Linked DNA regions of Saccharomyces cerevisiae S288C. The protein of the gene in region 2 purifies or fractionates together with the protein of the main gene of each other region. This does not show direct contact. Each region holds a gene or a part of one and is shown on either strand. Other genes may lie near its edges.

The links.
Region 1: the proteins of HRP1 (region 2) and AEP1 purify together in Saccharomyces cerevisiae (affinity purification with mass spectrometry, with the first as the bait; 2 studies listed by BioGRID). This does not show direct contact.

The regions. Positions count from the first base shown.
Region 1 is NC_001145.3:395,894-399,827, forward strand, and holds AEP1 (Aep1p), read left to right. Parts: upstream 1-2,009; coding exon 2,010-3,566; downstream 3,567-3,934. Other genes in the region: ARG7 (glutamate N-acetyltransferase), read right to left, coding at 1-486; RIM9 (Rim9p), read left to right, coding at 1,184-1,903; KAR5 (Kar5p), read left to right, coding at 3,809-3,934. UniProt on the Saccharomyces cerevisiae protein: Required for translation of the mitochondrial OLI1 transcript encoding subunit 9 of mitochondrial ATP synthase.
Region 2 is NC_001147.6:86,159-90,092, reverse strand, and holds HRP1 (Hrp1p), read right to left. Parts: upstream 2,250-3,934; coding exon 645-2,249; downstream 1-644. Other genes in the region: divalent metal ion transporter SMF1, read left to right, coding at 1-401; TRM11 (tRNA (guanine-N2-)-methyltransferase), read left to right, coding at 3,336-3,934. UniProt on the Saccharomyces cerevisiae protein: RNA-binding protein, which is involved in the polyadenylation-dependent pre-mRNA 3'-end formation and cooperates with the cleavage factor CFIA complex and the cleavage and polyadenylation factor (CPF) complex.

The DNA.
Region 1 (3,934 bases), on a different chromosome or scaffold from region 2:
GCCGAACTTTTCTTCTCCAAAAATTTTATTGATACCAGTGCTGATCTTGTCCATCTGTAGTCGTTGTCCAATAACGCCTGTAGACATGACTAGGGTAGAATTTTTTTGACCAATTTTATCGTTAACCAAATCAATCATTACTTGGGCATCTTTCATACCAAGATCACCTGTGACCGAGTTAGCACAACCGGAATTGACTACAATAGCGTTGATGTTTTTACCACGAGCAGTTTCAAGGACTTTTTTCGATGTCAAAACTGGCGCAGCTTTGAATTTATTGGTCGTGAAAACAGCTGCTGCGGTTGAAGGACGAGATTTATTGGTATTCAAGATTACACCCAGGTCCAGGCTCCCGTTTTTTTTGACTCCAGATGCAGTGTAGCCTACTTCAAATCCTTTAGGAAAAGAGCCCGTCTTGGGCACGTATAATGCATACTTATCTATAAGCTGCTTCGAGCGTTGAAGCAATGTTGATGATATTCTCATGCTATGTTGAATTTTGGACTTCTTTAAATAAAGGGAATAGAAGTATTGCTGATACTAGCCCAAAAATCGTCACCTTTGTGCGGCGAGCCGAGGATGAGGCTTTTATATACTCGACGACTAAAGAAGTTGGCAACGAATTACGCAGTGAGTCATCCTACCTGTCCATCGCAGTAGAAAAAGACCTTCGCCAAGAAAACACCGTCAATAATGATTGCTAAGCACTCTCACTTAGTACTACTATCAACGCTACCTTCAATTTGGGTCTAACCACGGCCCTATTGCATCACTACTCTCTTTATTCTATGATACAGCGTGGGGGTGAAGCCAAGAGCCCTGTGTTTTACTTCAGCATACCAACAAAGTATAAGATTACTTTTGCTATACAGCGATGAAAAATGTATTTTAATGTTTGTAAATTTATGATCTACTGACACGTCTCAGACAGATCACATTTACAACACAGCATGCTATGACTATATACAAAACATGACTTTTCTTTATCACTAAAAGTAACTGCCAATTTATTGTCGAATCTCGCTATAGTTTGATTTTCACCAGCGGCGCGCGCAAGTATAAGCTAAGAAACAATGAATATAGATAGATAGTGATGAGCGTTGAGAACCGGGAAATGAGTAGAGACGTCCTTCTAAACAAAGATTTATACGGTTGAGACAGATTCATTGAGGAAAAGAGGAGAATGGTTAGCATGATCCATATTGTGGTGTTTTTGCTAGCAATCACAACCATGTTCGAAATACTTCCGCTAATAACCGTCCCCGTGACCAAGTACCTATCGTTATCGTCATTCAGAAACCACTATTATGGCCTGTTTGGCTGGTGTGTACGTGGTCAAAACCAAGAATTGATGTGCACGAAAATGAAGATAGGATATGACAGTACAGATGTCGACTCCTCCGGGCACGTTTTGACCCTGCCATCGAACTCAAAAGTGGTCGTCTCCAATTTATTAGTGGTTCACCCGATTTCACTGGCATTCACAGGAACGCTATTAATTTTAGCAGTGATTATCATGGTAACTCCACTAGGGGACTCACCTGAGATGTTATTGTTCACGGCCCTTTTTTCGCTGCCAACGTTCATGCTATGTCTTTTATGTTTTTTGGTAGATATTCTTCTGTTCATCTCCAAACTGGACTGGCCCGGCTGGCTAATGCTAGCCGCTACTATTAGCGTAGCACTTTGTTGTTCCATGCTGTGGGTCATGAGAAGAGTTGTGTCAGTCAAAAAATATGAATCGCAACAGTCAATTGCGCATGCGTGCTCAATGGAACAGTACTCAATTTCCGACATTTACCAGAGTAAACAGAACGGCAATAGCTCAGAATATGAAGTGGCTCCAACACATACAGATAGTCTGATTGCTCCAGAAGTGACATATAGAGGGTTCATTGAATAAGTAACATCATGTGTCATTTTGCACGTTACATCGGTTTGCCAATCGGCTTCCAAATATTTGTACATTTTTTTCTTCCTCCATCACTATCTGTTAAGGGTCTTAGAAAATGATTACTACAGTGCAAGAAATCAGCAAATGGAGAAACCTGTGCTTCATTAGGATGCAATCTCGCAAATGGTACCCAGTACTTAAAAAGACTCCTTTAGTAGCGGACGGTCGAAAGATCATTAAACATGCCGATAAAGTTCCTCATCCGGAAGAAATAATTCACCCATTTTACCAACCAACAGCAATAGAACAATTCACGGCATGCGCTACGGAATACAATCCTAGCCTGCTTGATGGCAAAAAAATTGCTCCATCACTGATAAAACACCCGGTGAGCCTAAAAACCATACTAGTTGATAGCAAATTAAAGTTTGATGATATTAGGGGAGTGAATAAATGGTTGATGGAATTCGTTGCAAGACGACAACATCAAAGAAATATTGTACTTACACCTGCGAGCAAAAGCGTTAGATCTTTTCACGTTCTGCATTTGTCTTCAACCGATATTGCCAAATTAAGAGGTCTTGAAAATATATTATCAGAGATTGAAAACACGAATGATTTGCAATCCAGGGTCGAGTCCGTAAATAATGAACTACAGAATATTTTTGACCGCGACAGTAAACAGACAAGATTATTTTGCGAGAATATACTGGCTTATTTGATAAAGAATTATGGAAACTCGACTGAAAAACTTATACTACTAATAAATGTTACTGAGATGCAATTATATTCACGTTTAGACCAAATGAAGGCCATGAACATTATTTTATATAATATCCTTTGTAAAGTGGAAGCAAATGAAAACCCACCGTACAGTCCCACATTGGTTACCGCACTAGAAAACCTATTGGCAGCGATCAACAACAGATTTTTTCCAGGGCGTTGCGAAAATTCATTGCACCCAATAGTAATTGAACAACTATTATCATATTTCATTAAAACCGGCAATTTGAATGAAAGCAAAAATTTTTTGGGCCATTTAATAAAAAAGGGTATTTTACCAGAGGCTACTATCATTAATAGATATTTGGAGGCAATTGATGTTCATTTCGATAAAAGCACTAAGATTTTTGATATAAGATCCAAATTTGCATTCATAGCAGATCTTGCACCCATAATAGAAAATTATGGAACAATAGACCTGTTCAAATTTTTGATACCTATGTGCCGGCATTTCGACGAATTGTGTTCTCTGCTAAATATTATTCGAAAATCCAATAACGCAAAACGGGCTGTGGATAGCACCTTACCTATTTTTATCAAAAAAGTATTAACATTTACTAAAGATCCAATGATCAACTCCGGAAATCTATCCACTGTTTTCAATATAGTGAGCCCAATATATGGACAAAACGTGCCCAGCGAATTCGTGGAGAAATTTATACTGTCTTTTGCACTTCAAGGAAATTACACTATGATGGCTCATATGATAGATACATATAAGATCAAACTAAGTCATAAATACCAACTACAAATTATTAGGGCTCTCAAAAATAGTGAGAGAAATCACGCGCTTAAGAATACGGGCGCTGTAGGTTATAATAAGGAATTTAAAAAGTACTTCATCGAGAAATATTTGAATTGCACTGAACGAGAAGCTTTACGCCCATAAATCGTCTATATTAAAAAAAAGGCAGCATAAGAGCAACTCACTGCAAAGGGAATTGCGCATTCCACGCAAATAAACAATGTAAATAAGAATACGTACTGTAACTGTGTCACACTAGCGGGTTGTTTTATCATAATTGTTTGGGATTAATCCTGAACAAATTTTCTATATATAAACACTGGTTCGGAATACCAATGAAGTATACATATTCTGGTTCAACAACTGTTTCTATTCAAAAACTTTGAATGTTTGAAATGCGCTACGTCTATTTGTTTGCAATTTGTATTAAGTTTGTTTCAAGCTCCGAACTAGGAAAAATCAACAATCTGCTGCAAGGAAGATTGATATACACAGATAATTCCGTTGCGACA
Region 2 (3,934 bases):
TAATCCCTTGTTTGGTCATCTCTATCTGTATCGGTAGAGAAGCTTTATCAAAGGCCTTAAATGCTTCCCAAGTTGTTTTATCCATAGTTCTGCCATTTTTGGTAGCACCTTTAATTTTCTTCACATGTAAAAAATCAATCATGAAAACCGAAATTACCGTCGACCATACTGAAGAAGATAGCCATAACCATCAAAATAACAACGATAGATCTGCAGGTAGCGTAATCGAGCAAGATGGTTCTAGTGGCATGGAGATAGAAAATGGAAAAGATGTCAAAATCGTTTATATGGCAAACAATTGGATTATCACTGTTATTGCTATAATTGTGTGGCTTTTCTTATCTTTACTGAACGTTTATGCCATTGTTCAATTAGGCATGTCTCATGGTGATATCAGTTAATGTCTGCCTCTTACATTCTTGCGCACAATAACATTAAGATTATTTGTAAGCTTTATGACAGCTGTACTTCAAGTAGAGCTTGTGATTATACATTCTAGCATAGTGAAAAAAAAATAATAACTATTCGAAACTAATACACGTACATGTATATATATATTATAAATTGCTTATGCTTATTTAATAGAAGGGTTGTTGAATTATACAAGAAAACTTTTCTCTAGTTTTCTACACTTTTCTTTTTTTTTACCTATTATATGGATGGTAGCCATTATTACGTCTATTGTATCCACCGCGACCACCACGGCCGTTTCTTCTATGGTTTCCACCACTACGGTGATTGTAATCGCGGTCACGATCGTTACGATCACGATCACCGCGATCACGGTTGTAGCCATAACCGCTATTGTGGTCATCATTGTATTGTGATGGGCCCTTTGGACCATTAGGTAAATTCAATGGCGGTGAACCAGAGTCAGTGTTTGATGTATTACCAATAGTTTGGACGTCATTGGATTTATTATTATCGGAATCAGAAGGTGCTGGGGAACCTTGAGTGGCATTTGAATCTTGCTGTGGTTGGTTTAAAGTCATTGCATTAGGTGGCATGGCAAACCCTGGCATCATCATTGCCATTTGCTGCATTTGTTGTTGGTACATTTGAGTATAATCCATACCAGTTTGCTTTTGCATTTGTTGGTAATATTCTTGCATCTTTTGATAGTAATCTGTCATTGCTTGCGGATTCATCATTGGGTTGTAACCGCCCATCATAGGGTTTTGATACATTTGGTTGAAATCGCCTTGGTTACCGAAGTTACCGCCACGACGATTCATGTTGTTTCCACCATTGTTACCACCATTGTTTGATGATTTTTGTTGCATATGTCTTGGCTCAGCTCTCTTGATTTCGATCTTGCGATCTTTGAAATCGATGAATTTATTCTGACAAACTCTGTCAACGGCGTCAGCGGAGTCATACGTCACAAAACCAAAACCTCTTGATTGACCGGTATCCTTATCTAACATCAGTTGCGCATCGATAATCGTACCCCACTGAGAAAAAAATTCTTCAAATTCCTTTGGTCTCACATCAGGACCAATACCACCAACAAAGATTTTACCGGTTTTATCTTGCTCGTCTCTTGGGATAGCTCTTTTTGGGTCGATAACTTTACCATCGAGGATATGTTGTGTCTTTACCACTTCATCAACACTAGAAGGTTTTTCAAAAGATAAGAAACCGAACCCTCTAGATCTACCTGTTGCAGGGTCTTTCATGATTTTCAAATCAGTGACGGTACCATACTTACCAAAATATTCGCGAAGATTATCTTCCGTAGTGTCCCAATTCAGACCACCAATGAACATCTTGCAACTTTCTTTAGACAAATCCGCTTTCGAACGTTCCTCTTTGGTTTGAGTTACTTGCTGTTGAGGTGGTGATTGAGAAGATGGTTGCTGGAATTGTGACATGGTTTGTTGAAGTTGTTCCCAAGGTAAGCCAGAAGGTCCTGCAGAACTAGCGTTGGCATTGGCATTTGCTGATGTAGCGCTTTCTTGTTTTTTTTCATTCTTAGTGTCTTCATTGGAACCTTCCTTGTCATTCGCAGTGCCATCTTGCTTACTAGAAGATGTGTCTTGGTTACTATTATTACTACTACTGTTGTTACTATTTGGATTATTTAGTTTGTTCAAGCTAGAAGATAATGCTTGTAGTGCGGCTAGTTGATCTAATTGCGAGGTACCACTGCCAGCCTTATTTTGTTCTTCTTCTTTTTTGACTTCTTCAGTAGTGGTAGGCTTATCATCGCCGTAGATGTCGTTGAAATCTTCTTCGTCAGAGCTCATTGCTTATTTAACTTATTCTCTATTTTCTCAGACTTGTGTATACTGCTAAAGTTCTTTATAAATAAAATATTTGCGTCTTTTATGAAAAGATTGTAATATAAACAGTAATATTAATACAGAATAAAAAAGGGCCAATTGTTTGTATTATGCACGCTTTTTCAATTTCTTGTTTATTGAGTATACCTTTTCTGTCCGTATTTTTTCTTTTTGTTTCTTTCGCAAAAAAGGTTAGAAAGAAATCTAGTAAGGTATGAGATTTTAGTTATTAAACACTAAAAAGTAAAAGATACACGTAAAAAATTTATAACAGTATATTGTACTAATACTTGACTATCTGCAAAATTAAATAACTAGTCGAAACTGTTCAATCCTTTGTTTTTAATTACAGTGGCGGAAAGGAGAGAGCGGAAGAAAATTTAAGAGCGCCTGGGCGTGTGGAAAGCATGCGCCTTTTATACTTTTTTTGCTTTGTCCAACAAGAAATCTCGGCGCTGCTCGTAGGGAGGGGCTGCAAGAAAAAAAATAAATAAAAAAAAGAAAGTATTTCCGGGTAAGATTAAAAATGCATTCGATTTAGCCGCCCAGTATTTCGCAAGATCTTCCAAGGTTATAGATGTTTAGAAGAGAAAGAAGTTGGGATCCTTAAGAGCATGTTTCTTTTTCCACGCATCTACATTAGGATTTACTCTTTGTTTTTCAACTTCTGCGCAAGATCTTCAAGAACAAATCGAAGAGATAAAAAAATTGATATTTATAGTCAATAGGTTTTCGATAGCATGACCCTCCGGACTTTTGATGGATAGATAAAGCGAAATTTAGAGGGTTTTTGATCTTCTTCCTTGCAGCAACCTATATTTCTTAGTATTTTGTATATCAATAGCCTCCATAATGTTATCTATAGCTATTAGTACTTTAAGAGACTTTTATTACCCGTATTTTGGATTCTTTTCCGAAGAAAAAAGAAATGTTTACGTTGTGGGAAAAGTGAAAAAAATCGATGATTATGGGCATCGAGGTCTTAATACCCGTAATATGGAGATGAAATAGCATAACTAAACACATTGTATATAAGGTAAAAACGGCAGCATGAAGAAATATCTGCTGTATATGGTACAAGTTCATTTGAACTTTAGAAGAGCAGAACTGGAATCGTTAGCAGACCTATATAATCTTTCCATAGACTTTTCGCAGTACGATGCCAATAGCCCTTTCTTTATTGTAGAGCTGGAAAATGATCAGCAAGCAAAGGATTGGATTAAGAGGTCTATTTTAACCAGAGGTATTTATGAGTATTGGGGGCAGGGTACAACGCTCGATGAGCTGCATAAAGATATTCAGCGTCAGTCTAACTTTGAACAGGATCTGCAATTGAAATTCAAACATTCCACTTTTAAGTTCGAATTCGAATGCTATAAAGGCAACAGTAAAGCTAAGAGGGTAGAGCAGATTGAAACTTTCCGTTACCTTGGCTTTGAAGGAAAGATTGATATGAAACATCCTCAAGAGGTTTTCACTGTTATAGAAGAGTACACACCAATATCGGAAAACGTTGGTGGTAAGACCCCCACCAGGATTTATTTTGGTAGGCAGGTTCAGATGAGCAATAGGAGTGCCATGGAGAAATATGATTTGAAGAAAAGACCTTATAAAGGTACAACTAGCTTCGAAGCAGAATTATCGTTGGT